3 linked regions of the Oryzias latipes genome follow. Each later gene encodes a partner of the first gene's protein in a complex. Links are inferred from orthologs where the notes say so. Each region holds a gene or a part of one and is shown on either strand. Other genes may lie near its edges.

What was found.
Region 2: timm50 (region 1) and timm17b share a complex: the UniProt entries of both Homo sapiens proteins name them as parts of the TIM23 complex. The link is inferred for Oryzias latipes from reciprocal best matches to the Homo sapiens genes TIMM50 and TIMM17B.
Region 3: timm50 (region 1) and timm17a share a complex: the UniProt entries of both Homo sapiens proteins name them as parts of the TIM23 complex. The link is inferred for Oryzias latipes from reciprocal best matches to the Homo sapiens genes TIMM50 and TIMM17A.

The regions. Positions count from the first base shown.
Region 1 is NC_019871.2:1,074,393-1,078,073, forward strand, and holds part of timm50 (mitochondrial import inner membrane translocase subunit TIM50), read right to left. Parts: intron 3,093-3,681; coding exon 3,071-3,092; intron 919-3,070; coding exon 860-918; intron 517-859; coding exon 397-516; intron 1-396. UniProt on the Homo sapiens protein: Essential component of the TIM23 complex, a complex that mediates the translocation of transit peptide-containing proteins across the mitochondrial inner membrane. Has some phosphatase activity in vitro; however such activity may not be relevant in vivo.
Region 2 is NC_019865.2:21,320,897-21,325,208, reverse strand, and holds the start of timm17b (mitochondrial import inner membrane translocase subunit Tim17-B), read right to left. Parts: upstream 2,853-4,312; 5' UTR 2,828-2,852; coding exon 2,802-2,827; intron 1,149-2,801; coding exon 1,049-1,148; intron 969-1,048; coding exon 905-968; intron 747-904; coding exon 618-746; intron 538-617; coding exon 427-537; intron 1-426. Other genes in the region: pqbp1 (polyglutamine-binding protein 1), read left to right, coding at 3,922-3,988, 4,069-4,180, 4,305-4,312. UniProt on the Homo sapiens protein: Essential component of the TIM23 complex, a complex that mediates the translocation of transit peptide-containing proteins across the mitochondrial inner membrane.
Region 3 is NC_019863.2:11,441,680-11,445,844, reverse strand, and holds the start of timm17a (mitochondrial import inner membrane translocase subunit Tim17-A), read right to left. Parts: upstream 2,927-4,165; 5' UTR 2,842-2,926; coding exon 2,816-2,841; intron 1,525-2,815; coding exon 1,425-1,524; intron 1,198-1,424; coding exon 1,134-1,197; intron 249-1,133; coding exon 120-248; intron 1-119. UniProt on the Homo sapiens protein: Essential component of the TIM23 complex, a complex that mediates the translocation of transit peptide-containing proteins across the mitochondrial inner membrane.

The sequences.
Region 1 (3,681 bases):
ACCTCTGACTGCTGTCGTAGTCCTTCTGACAGGTTCAGAATTTAACCATGAAACGTCGTTGTTAATGCCTCGTTATTCCCTATGAAGGGGTGATGATCTGAACAATTTTAACGTATAAAACGTGAAAAGAAAGCAGCAAGCACCCTCAATGCCCCTCCATTACCCCCCATATTACCCCCCCCTCATTGGCTGAGCGGCAGCTAACGGCGGCACATGGACTACAGTGTGAGCACAGACCGCCGGGGGGTCTGACGGGCTTTGGACGGCCGCCGTGGTTGTCTGAGGTCCGTGTTCTCCTACGTGAAGCTTGGTTGTGTTTGACCTCAGCGCTTCATTCCCCTTTCAGTGATGTCACCACATCAGTACTAGCAAACACGTGCATGGAGCCAAACGCACCGACCACTCCGGGTGCAGCAGGACGTCTGTGAGCTCCAGCACCAGGGTGTAGGGCGGCTGGTAGTACGGCTCCTTCAACGGGTCGGGCAGCAGTTTCGGGCTCGTTGGCTCGATGATCATCTGCAAAAAAACCAACCGGTCACACGGCGCCCTCAAAGGATCGGATTCAAGAAAATCTGATGGTAAAACCCTAAATATGGGACCCTGTGGTGGTCCTTCTGACCCCAGTCTGGGTGGCTGACGTTGGGTTGCCCGGTGGGCGGATATTCTCAATCTGCTATCCCTCAAATCCAAAAAGGAGTTTATTCAAATAGACACCTCGCGTGTCAGAAGATTCCTAACCCCCTGTTGTAACATCAGTCCGACACTAGAGGCCCTCAGCTCTGACGCGTCCGCCCAGCGGCCGGACAGAAAACATGTCACTATGAAACGTTCCAGGAGGAAAAGATGTTTGGAGGATCACCTGTCTGTAATCCTTGAAGTATTTGAAGGTTCTCCTCAACTGCTGGACAACTGGAGGGTCTGAAAGAGAGAAGAGGAAGGTGAAGCAGGAGCCTGGATCTCCTCTAGAGCTCATCTGTCGACATGTTGGACCCCCCCCAACAACATCTGAGCAGCTTGATGAAGCCGTGTGGACCTGGACTCTGATTGGCCTCCTTTCCTCTGCAGAGCAGGGGTAAACAGTTTCAGGAGGACTTTGTTTGCTTAAAGAACGGCCTCCAAACAAAGACGCCTCCTTCTGATTGGCTCCCTGACCTGCAGCCTTCCAGCTGATCAATGAGTCCTGCTGATCACAGCTCTAGCTGGAAACCTGCTAATGACTAATCATAATAAAGACCGGGGCTCCCGTGAGGCCACGGGATCATTACTGCCCTGTGGGGGCAAACATCCATCCCCGCATGTCTATCCCGGGGGACTCGGACCCCCAGGATTCCCTGCAGCGAGCTGAAGCAGGAAGAAACCATCTGCTGCTGAGATGAAACGCAGAGAAGGTCCGTAGAAATGAGATCCGGGGACGGACGGGGGGGCGAATACTTCAGATGTTTCTCATGTTTTAAGTCGGAACAAGTGTTGAAAAAGGAGTGAAAGCGCTCCAAAGGAAGGGGACACCAAAGAGGAAGATGCCCTGATGAAGGCCTTTCTGAGAACCAAACGGCTGGTTCTCTGGTTATTTCCTCCTAAAATCTTAAATGTCAGTAAAAACAAAACTTTTCAGCGTTAAAAACTAATTTTAGATCACAAACACTGAAGGATTTTAGAACAAGTATTAACTTTATGATTTCCTGTGAACGTCGTTTCTTTTGTCTTTTAATTAATGTAACATTTCTACACGTTTATCATCCTTTATTTGGCAGCTTTTCCTGTTAATTAGCTTTTTGCATCATTAACTTTTCTTCGGTTAAACCAGTTTCTAGATTTCTCTCAGTGGTTGATGGTAACTCGTCCATCTGCATCGTCACAGGTCGGTCACTTTTTTCCAAAGGTGATGAACTAACCACCGACCGTAAACCCGCTTTATCCCTTTGGGGGTCACATGGTTGCCAGACCCCAACTGTGGGGCAGAGGCGACGTACGCCCCGGACAGGCCGCCAGTCTGTCGCAGGGTCACTCAATCCCACACAGCTGTACTCCTAGAGACGATTTACAGTCACCAGTTAATCCATGAAGCATGCGGTGGGAGGAAGGAGTGCCTGGTGAAAACCCACGCGTGCACGGGGAGAACACGCTACCTCCACGGGGAAAACACGCTAAGCCCACGGGGAGAACACACCAACCCCACGGGGAGAACACGCTAACTCCACGGGGAGAACACGCTACCTCCACGGGGAAAACACGCTAAGCCCACGGGGAGAACACGCCAACCCCACGGGGAGAACACGCTACCTCCACGGGGAAAACACGCTAAGCCCACGGGGAGAACACACCAACCCCACGGGGAGAACACGCTAACTCCACGGGGAGAACCCGCTACCTCCACGGGGAAAACACGCTAAGCCCACGGGGAGAACACGCCAACCCCACGGGGAGAACACGCTAACTCCACGGGGAAAACACGCTAAGCCCACGGGGAGAACACGCCAACCCCACGGGGAGAACACACTACCTCCACGGGGAAAACATGCTAAGCCCACGGGGAGAACACGCCAACCCCACGGGGAGAACACGGCAACTCCACGGGGAGAACACGCTACCTCCACGGGGAAAACATGCTAAGCCCACGGGGAGAACACGCCAACCCCACGGGGAGAACACGCCAACTCCACGGGGAGAACACGCTACCTCCACGGGGAAAACACGCTAAGCCCACGGGGAGAACACGCCAACCCCACGGGGAGAACACGCTACCTCCACGGGGAAAACACGCTAAGCCCACGGGGAGAACACGCCAACCCCACGGGGAGAACACGCCAACTCCACGGGGAGAACACGCCAACTCCACGGGGAGAACACGCTACCTCCACGGGGAGAACACGCCAAGCCCACGGGGAGAACACGCCAACCCCATTCCTGAGCTGACTGTTGTGTCCTTGATTCACCAAAGTAAAAAATCAAAAGAAGCGTTCTTTCTGAATAAAGATTCCCTAAAGCGTCGCCTCATCTTCCAGTTTATGACAGAAATGTTCAGCGGGGGACCGTAACTCATTACTTCAGTTCTCAGACGGACGCTACTCACCTGAGTCGAACTCATCTGGAATCTGCAGGACAGAGAAAACAGAGATCAGAGGTCAACAAAAGCAGGAGTTTCTGCTCCCAAGCTTCCTGTCCAACCCTTCTGCTAACTTGTGGGGTCTAGATGACCCAACTCCCAATGTTAACGTGCCTCCAAGGCATGTTAATGTTGGGTCATCTAGACCCACTAGACCAGGGGTCCCCAAATCCAGGCCTCAAGGGCCAATGTCGTGCTGCTTTTCCAGAAACCCTGCCATATTTGTATCTGATTACCTGGATCAGGTGTGTTTAGCCAATAAGGAGCTTCAATGGCAGGTTGGTTAGAAAACATGTAGGACACCGGCCCCCCAGGCCTGGATATGGGGACCCCTGCACTAGACAGTGCTCTGAACCTTTTTTCTTCAATGATTTGTGATCTTCACTGGTGTCCATGGATTACATGAAATCTTTCCACCTTTGTCCACCTTTGTCATGGTAGGGAGAACACGTCAATGGAAGGACCGGGTCATCTGGACCCCATAACATAGCACAAGGGTTAAAGTAAACCCTAAGGAGTTTTTATTTTAAATTAAATCAAAGTGAAACTATGGAGTTAACATCATGAAACATCACCAT
Region 2 (4,312 bases), on another chromosome or scaffold:
CAAACGCATGACAACTGTACATTGCATTTTTAGTGACGTTCCATTAGGTACGAGACTGAAGGGAAACTAAAAGACACATCTGCTCCCCTCAAGGTGCAGCTGATTGTCTCTACGACCCTCCACAGCCCCGAACAAACCAAAAACCAGCATATGACTAAGGATTAACCAAAAAATTCCAGTTTGCAGCCTTCATTTTGCCCTCATCGTGTTTTTTTAACAATGCAAATCACATTTTGCTGATGTAATTTCCCTGGTGTCTTCTGCATTTGCCGCGAAAAAAACTTCAATAGTGTGAATAGGTAACAATAACTAAATGTATACACCAAAGAAAAAGTCAACCTGATTTATATTACTGTAGAATACAAATATGATTTTCAAAAACTCATTTTTGGAAGAATAAAACCACCATTCAAGAGTTTCACTCACGGTTCTGAAACTGCTGTGCAGTGTATCTGGTTAGCAGGATCCCAAAACCCTCGATGAGAGCGAGCAATATTCCTCCCATCATGGCAGAGCCCACCATGGTCAACGGTCCGCCTGAGGAAAGACACCCTGTCCGCTCAATTCCACCAAACACTACGACCCGCTGAGAGTGTGCGGCCCAGACTCGCTCTTACTGCGTGCTGCTAGAACGGCTCCGGTCAGGGCCCCGCTGGTGATGGAGTTCCACGGGTCTTCTTTCCCTCTCAGACGGACCAGACCACAGTCGATCGTGGAGAAGAGCCCCCCCCACACTGCAAAGCTGCCTGCAAAAATGTTCAGGGGAGTGTGAAAAACAAAAACAAGAAGAGAACAGCTCTTATGGCATCTAGGTATAATTTTTCCAATAAAGAGATGAACAGCAAATGACATTGTGGTGAAGCCAGGAAACCTTTTGTTATTAATAAGAGCAAAATCTCCTCACCTCCAATCTGCGGCGCTCTTATTCTCACTGCATTGGCGCTTCCTTTTAGCCTGTGTGCAACACCCTGAAAGGTCAGACTGCTGTTAATTATTATCCTCACAAAACAGGCGCATCAGAGCCAACAGACTTGTGGTTTTAACTCACGGCGGGGGCGTTTCGAAACCCCTTGACTGCTTGGAACACCCCTCCACCAATTGCACCCATAGTAAACGCCCCCCCACAGTCATCCACAATCCTCCAGGGGCTGCAGGAAAGAAGTCAGATCATGAAAAATTACGGACACAGAGGAAAAAAATTGCAGATTGACTCATCAGGATCTGAATGAACCAAAATTAGGCCAAGAAGTTAAAGGTGTAGAACTGAAACAAATAACCTTTTTATTAATTTCTTAGGAAAGCTATCAACGATCCGGCATACTTTCCAGCTTCCACAAGAATTCATCTTTGGATTATATTAACTCCAAATCCCAATTTTAGCTGCAGTATATTATTAAACGACAGATGCAGACATTATTTAAGGTCACACTGAACCTGCATTTTCTTTAACAGCTTTAAAACACTTGTTTAAATAATTAGTCATTGGATTAAGACAGCAAAACAGCAACATATTATTGTTCTTTCTGGTGGCTTACTGCTGCAGGAGGCTCAAATGTTCAAAACAAACAAAGATCTAAATGAGAAGACACAGGCTTTTTCATGCTAACTCTTCTATTTATTCTACTTTGTCACGAGTCAAATGATAAATTAAAGGATTTTCCTCTGATTCTTTTGTCTTATAAACTTAGGGGGTTCTCTCCATTCAGATTTACTCTCTAAAGGCAAAATAATGGATCACAGATCCACAGTGTTTTCTTCTGACACAAGGGGAGTGAATTCTGACTTCCTTTAAGTTCAAAACTAGGAATAACCACAAAGCAGGAACAGATCAGAGAGAAACTGATTAGATCAGAACAGAGAAGAGCCAGAGGTGGCAGAGCTTGTAGCTGCGAGGGGGAAAAAAGGAGGCAGAAGGGAGCGGCGTGGGGCAGCAAGCAGACGGAGCGGCGTGGGGCAGCAAGCAGACGGAGCAGGAGCAGACCAAAAAGAGAAACAAATGATTCTGTCTCCATGTTTTTACTCTGATTGGTTTGTGTGTCTTCCTTTTGTAGACGGTGGGGGATCTTTCTGTTAATCCCTCCAAAAACTCTGAACTCAGAAGTAAATGGGTTAACCATAACAACTATCTAATATCTATAATCAGTTAAATTCAGAAGTGTTATTATCAATCTGGATTATCAATGACTCAATGACAAGCATGTCAGCATTTTGATGAGTTGGGGCAGCTTTAGAGGAGATCTGTGTGCCTGAAGCCCTAGAAGTGTCGACTTTACTGAATTCTAATAAACAATCATCCATCTATGAAATAGTAGACAATGTTAATGATTATTCTTTAAAATGTCTGAAAGTTGTTGAGAGATTTAAACTGCATTTAGGATTTATAGAATAAATGTAACTGTGATCTTAATTGCTATTAAATACCATTATATTCTGTGATATATAAAACATCCATTTCTGCACAAGGATATAAATTGGATGTTTCGGCTTGAAAAACAATAAACAAGCTTACTACCAATTAATTAAAAATGTCACAAAATATGTAACATTTGTTCGCAATATGTTTTAAGCTAATTTAAAGCACTAACAGTAAATGTTGTCGTTTTTCCATAAATTGTAGAAATAATATATTTTATAACCTGCGAAATGTTAGAATTCTAGTTGAAATTAGATTACTTCTCGGTGGTGGACGCGAAACTATTCAACCTGGTCAGGTTTCGTTCAACAAGAGGGCAAAATTGCATAAAAGCCAAAGGACAAACTAATATGTTTAGGTTTTATTCGACAAAAAAAGATAATCTCACCAAGGTTCACGCGCAAACTCCTCCATCTTTCGTGTCGTCTTTTAAGCGCAGTGACGTCATAATCAGGCGCCGGCTCATCGTTCGTTGTGGTGGTCTGTTGATTTTAACGATTGAAATAGTCGTTTTTAAGAACAGGTACAGACTTTCCCCCCTCTTTGTTATTTATATAAACGCTTACTTGGTTAATTGAGTTTCTTATTATAGTTAGGAACTTCAAAATGACGGGATTTTGATTTATTTTAACCGCAGCTGTGAGTTGAGTTCAGAAAAACGGGCCTGGATCATGTTTTCGTGCAGATTATTTTAGCTCTTGAAATATTGTTTCTTTGCTAATTATCGATATTTTAAAACTGACTGAGCTACACTAACCTCAATATTTAAAAGACAAAAAAAACTTAACGTTTGAGAGTTTTAATCAATCGCTCCATAGTAGAACCAGAACCATCGAAATAACTTTCAGAAAAGTCCTGTTTCATTTTTTGAGCTGCTTTGAAATTGAGACAGTTTTGTGTGTGTGTGTGTGCGCGCGCGTGCGTGCGTGTTTAAATTTCGCACCTTATCATAAAATTTTCCTCCAGAGAATTTGTTTAGAAACAGTGAAGAATGGATTTGTTTGCTTCAAATACCTTATCTATACAGGTGCTCTGAATGTACACATCTGTACATCTGGATTTGGTCATAGAACATGTTTAATTTCAGAATTTGGGGTAATGGGTGTCTCTTATGTTGTTGCTTTTATGGGTTAGTTTGAAACGAAACAGTTCTGCCAAATTAAAGCCAAATCAGTTATTTAATTAATTGATTTTTCTATAAAAGTAATATTTTGTATTTGTCAGGTTAAATAAAACATTTTCTTTGCTTTTAAAGCCAGAAGTTGAATTTTATTGATTTAAAGTTCAAGTTTTGCTTTATTTAAATCACTAGTTAGGCAAAAATGTTTGTGAACGAACATAATTAGTTTTGGAATGGAACCTTTATTTTTTTTTAAAAAGAATTTATATTTAATCAAAATTTCTGCAATCCTAACTCCTGTACACAATCGGTGAATTCGTATGTAATCAACTGAAGAATTTGTCAGCATTTGCATCATCATTTAATCCTAACTCCTCTGTGCTTGCAGATGCCTCTACCTCCAGCCCTGCTGGCCCGTTTGGCCAAGAGAGGAATAGTTAAACCTTCAGATCAAGGTAGTATTCTACATCCTCACAGAGCTTACTTTCTGCTTTTTTTCTGAGCTTAAAACGACTTTTTCTCCTCAACAAAACAGAGATAGAGGAGGAGATCATCGCTGAAGATTATGATGACAACAATGTTGACTATGAAGCCACTCGGTTAGAAAATCTTCCCCCAAATTGGTACAAAGTGTTTGACTCGACGTGGTACGTAGAAACGAAGTCGATCAGCTGCGCTGCTGTGTTTGAGTATGATCACTGCGTGTCATTGATCTACCATTGAAATGAAAAGCAATTGCAGCTAAAGTTATTTGTTTTCTTCATTTCCCAGCGGTCTTC
Region 3 (4,165 bases), on another chromosome or scaffold:
TTGGTGCCAATGTTATATAGTTACTGAAATTCTGTATCACTACATGAGCTCCAAGTTAGATCAAGGCAAAATTTCACCTGAAGTTCTGTCTATTTTCAAAAGGGGAAATTTGTACTTACTTCTTGCAGCGAGAATAGCACCAGTCATGGCACCACTTGTTATTGAATTCCAGGGGTCTTCTTTCCCTCTTACTTTTACTAAACCACAGTCAATCATGGAAAAAAGGCCTCCCCACACCGCAAAGCTACCTGCAACACACACCCACAAATAATTACCAACTAGTAACCATCAGTCATCTTTTTTGACAGTATAGCAGAAAATGTTATAAACCCGTTTATGAATATAACCTTGCAAAAAAAAAAAAGACAACCAAAAGTTTAAACACAGTAATGGTTAACAAGCAACGTAAACCAATGAAGATTTGACCTTTTGGTGAAGTTGACATGACTCAAGGGTATTGTTGTTTACATGGTAAACAACCTGCTACCAGAACAGCAGAATAACCCCATCAAAGTCCCACTCCGATCATTTCTTGATCTATTGTAAAAGTGTCCCCAGTGGACTTTTTACTTATAATTATGCAGATTTGAGCAAAAAAAATAAAAGAACATGTCATTTTCTAGGACATAATTTTTGCAGAACAGCAGGAGTTCATTAAAAATTCACCTCCAAGTTCTGCTGGCAGAGTAAGTCCATCCCCACATCCCATCATCCATCCATTTATAGGCTTTCCTGCTAGCTTACAGTCCCTCACAACCCCAACCTAAAATTACCGCTGCAACTAAAATGGCAAGCAATATTGGAGTTTTCCAGCCGTACAGTTTTGAGCCAGATGCCTTTAATCACACCTACAAGCTTTTTCCAACAACATTTTTGCGTCTGCGCCTGATTCACAAAGATTTCGATGTAGAAATACTCAAAATAGAATTTTGAGCCTAATTTTCTTTATATATCCTCCATCTTGGAGAAAGAAGAAAAGAAAAAAAAACACAACACGCATTGTTGTTGTCGATAGCTTAGCTTTTGTTCTATTGGCACTACGCAGGAGGAAAGACAATCACCTGACCGGACCGGGATCGCTCAGTGGAAATGAGACATAAGTGTCGGCACATGTGGAATTTTTTTTGTCTTACCTCCCAGTTGCGGGGCTCTGGTCTTAATGGCAGTTAAACTACCCCTCATCCTGTGGCTCATTCCCTACAAAAAAGACCAGCACAAACAGATTTAAAAAGTGTGAAGAGCAGATAAACACTATAACACCCATCTCGCTGGAAAATATTTAAAGCTTCCTTGAGCGAGTCATTGAACCAGAAGGCCAAGGCTTTCAAAACACTGGCTCTGCCACTACAGGTAGGAGAAAGATAATCACAGCAAACCCATGTGACGGCACACACGTACAGTTCAAATGTCCAAACTGAACTTACCGAGGGTGCGTTTCTGAAGCCCTTTACCGCCTGGAATATCCCTCCTCCAATAGCTCCCATGGTGAATGCTCCACCACAGTCATCCACAATCCTCCAGGGGCTAAAAAACAAAAAACACAGACAAAGCTTAACCTCATGCTGTACTCATGGAGTGCCAGACAACAGACTACAGAACCTAATACGAGTATTTTTAAAATAAACAGCAGGTATTTGTTCGTTAATGAGTTCCAAATATATGGGGGGGGGGGGGGGGGGGGACAAAAACGAATAAATGCATCAAACTTGAGAGAAAAACAAGTCCACAGTAGACATCAATAATTTAGACTTTTTTATTGTCATAACTGGTTAAGAACTAAATGAAACAACTTAAAACTTGAATTGATTTAATTCTGTCTGTGTGTTGGGGTTGGGGAGTGCATCTGCATGCCAGTAAGCTAGCCCAAGATTTACAACGTCTAATTCTAGGAACTTTAGACATTGTTTCATGCATGGACCAAATACCTCAACACCCAGGTCTTAATACCACTGAGACCTTCAGGATGTGCTACAGGAGACTTCATTACAGTCATGCCTATTATCCAAAATGAAACATATTGCAGACCATTAAAACAATGCCAAGAGGAAATAACATGCTATATGTAGAGGACACAGTGCAACTGTGTGTTAAAGAAAAGCTCAAAACCGTCCAAAAAGATATATTTTGTGGAAATCAAGCAAAATTGCATCAAGTTCCATTGTTTTGTCACATCCTAGTTAAATGAGGTGGGAAAAAGACAACTGGTCATGGATCAGCCAAAATATAACAACTTAGTGTCACACTAATGGCAGTAAGGCCTAAGATGGGTTTTTACAGTCCACCTATAGTTAACACAATTTTACGTAGATATGATGGTTTTTTTTAAGTTGATTACAGGATGTCGAAACAAGTGTTTGGGGAATCTAGTAAAACCGATCACTCACAGGTTCGGGTTGACAGCAGTCAGAGTTACAACAACACGGGTCTCATAACAAGTTATACAAATTTTCTCTGAACAACAATGGTGATGTTGGCTTTTTGGTACTTGATGCAATCCGTGTTCTATTTAGTGCAAAGTCAACTACTGTTTTCAGTGAAGTCAGTAGAGTTACATGTGGACGAAATAGCCGACAAGGTCACCAACGTGATTTCACGACCATGCCGGTATGTCGTTAGCGTCAAGCTACCCATAGATTTCAAGGGAGAAATTAGCATTTCGGCTAACACCACTAACTAGCATGCAAGGTTAAGGACTGATAAAGTCATTACAACTGGTGATCAGAATAGGTACTCAAAGTTAAGGAACAAACATGTCTTGTTTTTTAACCAGACAATTAAGGTGATTTAAAAATAAATAAATAAATAAAAAACTCACCACGGCTCTCTCGCATATTCCTCCATTTTGTTCTTTCACCGTGTTCCCCTGAGCGTCCTGACGTAACCTCTTCTTCTTGACGTCACAGAACGTAAACCAATAGTTGAAAGTAATGAGTACCGCCATCTATCGAGCAGACGTGTGGTTGCAGTTTTCTGTATACATTTTTTCCGCTTTTTTTGGTTATTTATAATTCCAGGGAAATAGAAGACAAAAATAAATAACTTACAAAATCTCCAGTTAATCTGTCACTCGTGGACAAACAAATGCCTCACTATTTTTAAGTAAATACTTCTTAATATAAAATGTTTACGTAGTTAAAAATTATAAAAATTTGATAATATGTGTTTGCTTTTGTTTTTTAATAAAAATCTATACTTAATTTTTCACATAATTTATTTATATTAGCTGATCTATTAGCCAATCCTTGGGTGGTTGATGTGGTTTGTGACAATGCTAACATTTATAAATGTGACTGCAGACAGAGTATGAATGATTGTAGAAATTAGTCACAACATCAGAAACATCACAGGTTGGATTTAAAACATGAAGAAGAAGAAAACACTTTGCTGGTGGGAGTAGGATCCTTTCTGAAAATACTCACCAACCCTAACCCTATACATCAAGTGTCCGGGTGTACTCTGTGAGAGCTCAACTACTGAAATGTCAGCTACTTAAAGGCTTTGGAATTGTTTGCCAAAACAAAAAAACAGCCACATGTAGTTCAGAGCAACCAAAAGCTAAACTAAAATAATACACCCAAGATCACACATTGAAAAGCATTTGATTCTTTCAAAGATTAAAACCTTTTCAGACATTCAAGATATTTTACCAGGTTTTAAGTTGTTTGAACTTATTTTTGCTATACACATTCTCAGGAAGAGCAGAGATACAGAAATAAAGAAATAAGTATTAAAATGAATCCAAACTCTTTTGCTCCCTACTCTCGACAAGAGAAAAAACTTGTTTCAAGACTCAAAAAATCTCTAATTACAGTGTCATTTTTGGCTCAATTTTAAAGATTTTATTTTAGAGTTCAATAAATGTTAGACTGGCATTCAGTGTCCTTGTTTTGGAAACTGAGAATTTGATTTACATTCAAACAATTAGAGCTAAATTTTATGAGGATTTGTTCTAAAATGAGTCATTTCTACTTTTTAACTATTTTTTGTCACTGTAATCAAAATGAAATAGAATTAGGTTTATAAAAACTGAAAAAATTAAATCCATTTGCTTAGAACTAGCAAAAAATACTTATTATCGGACCGTACGATATTATTATAAGTTACTCTCTCGAAGTATGCTTATTTTTCTCTTTTTGAATGCTTATGTGGAACAGCTTGTTTCTAG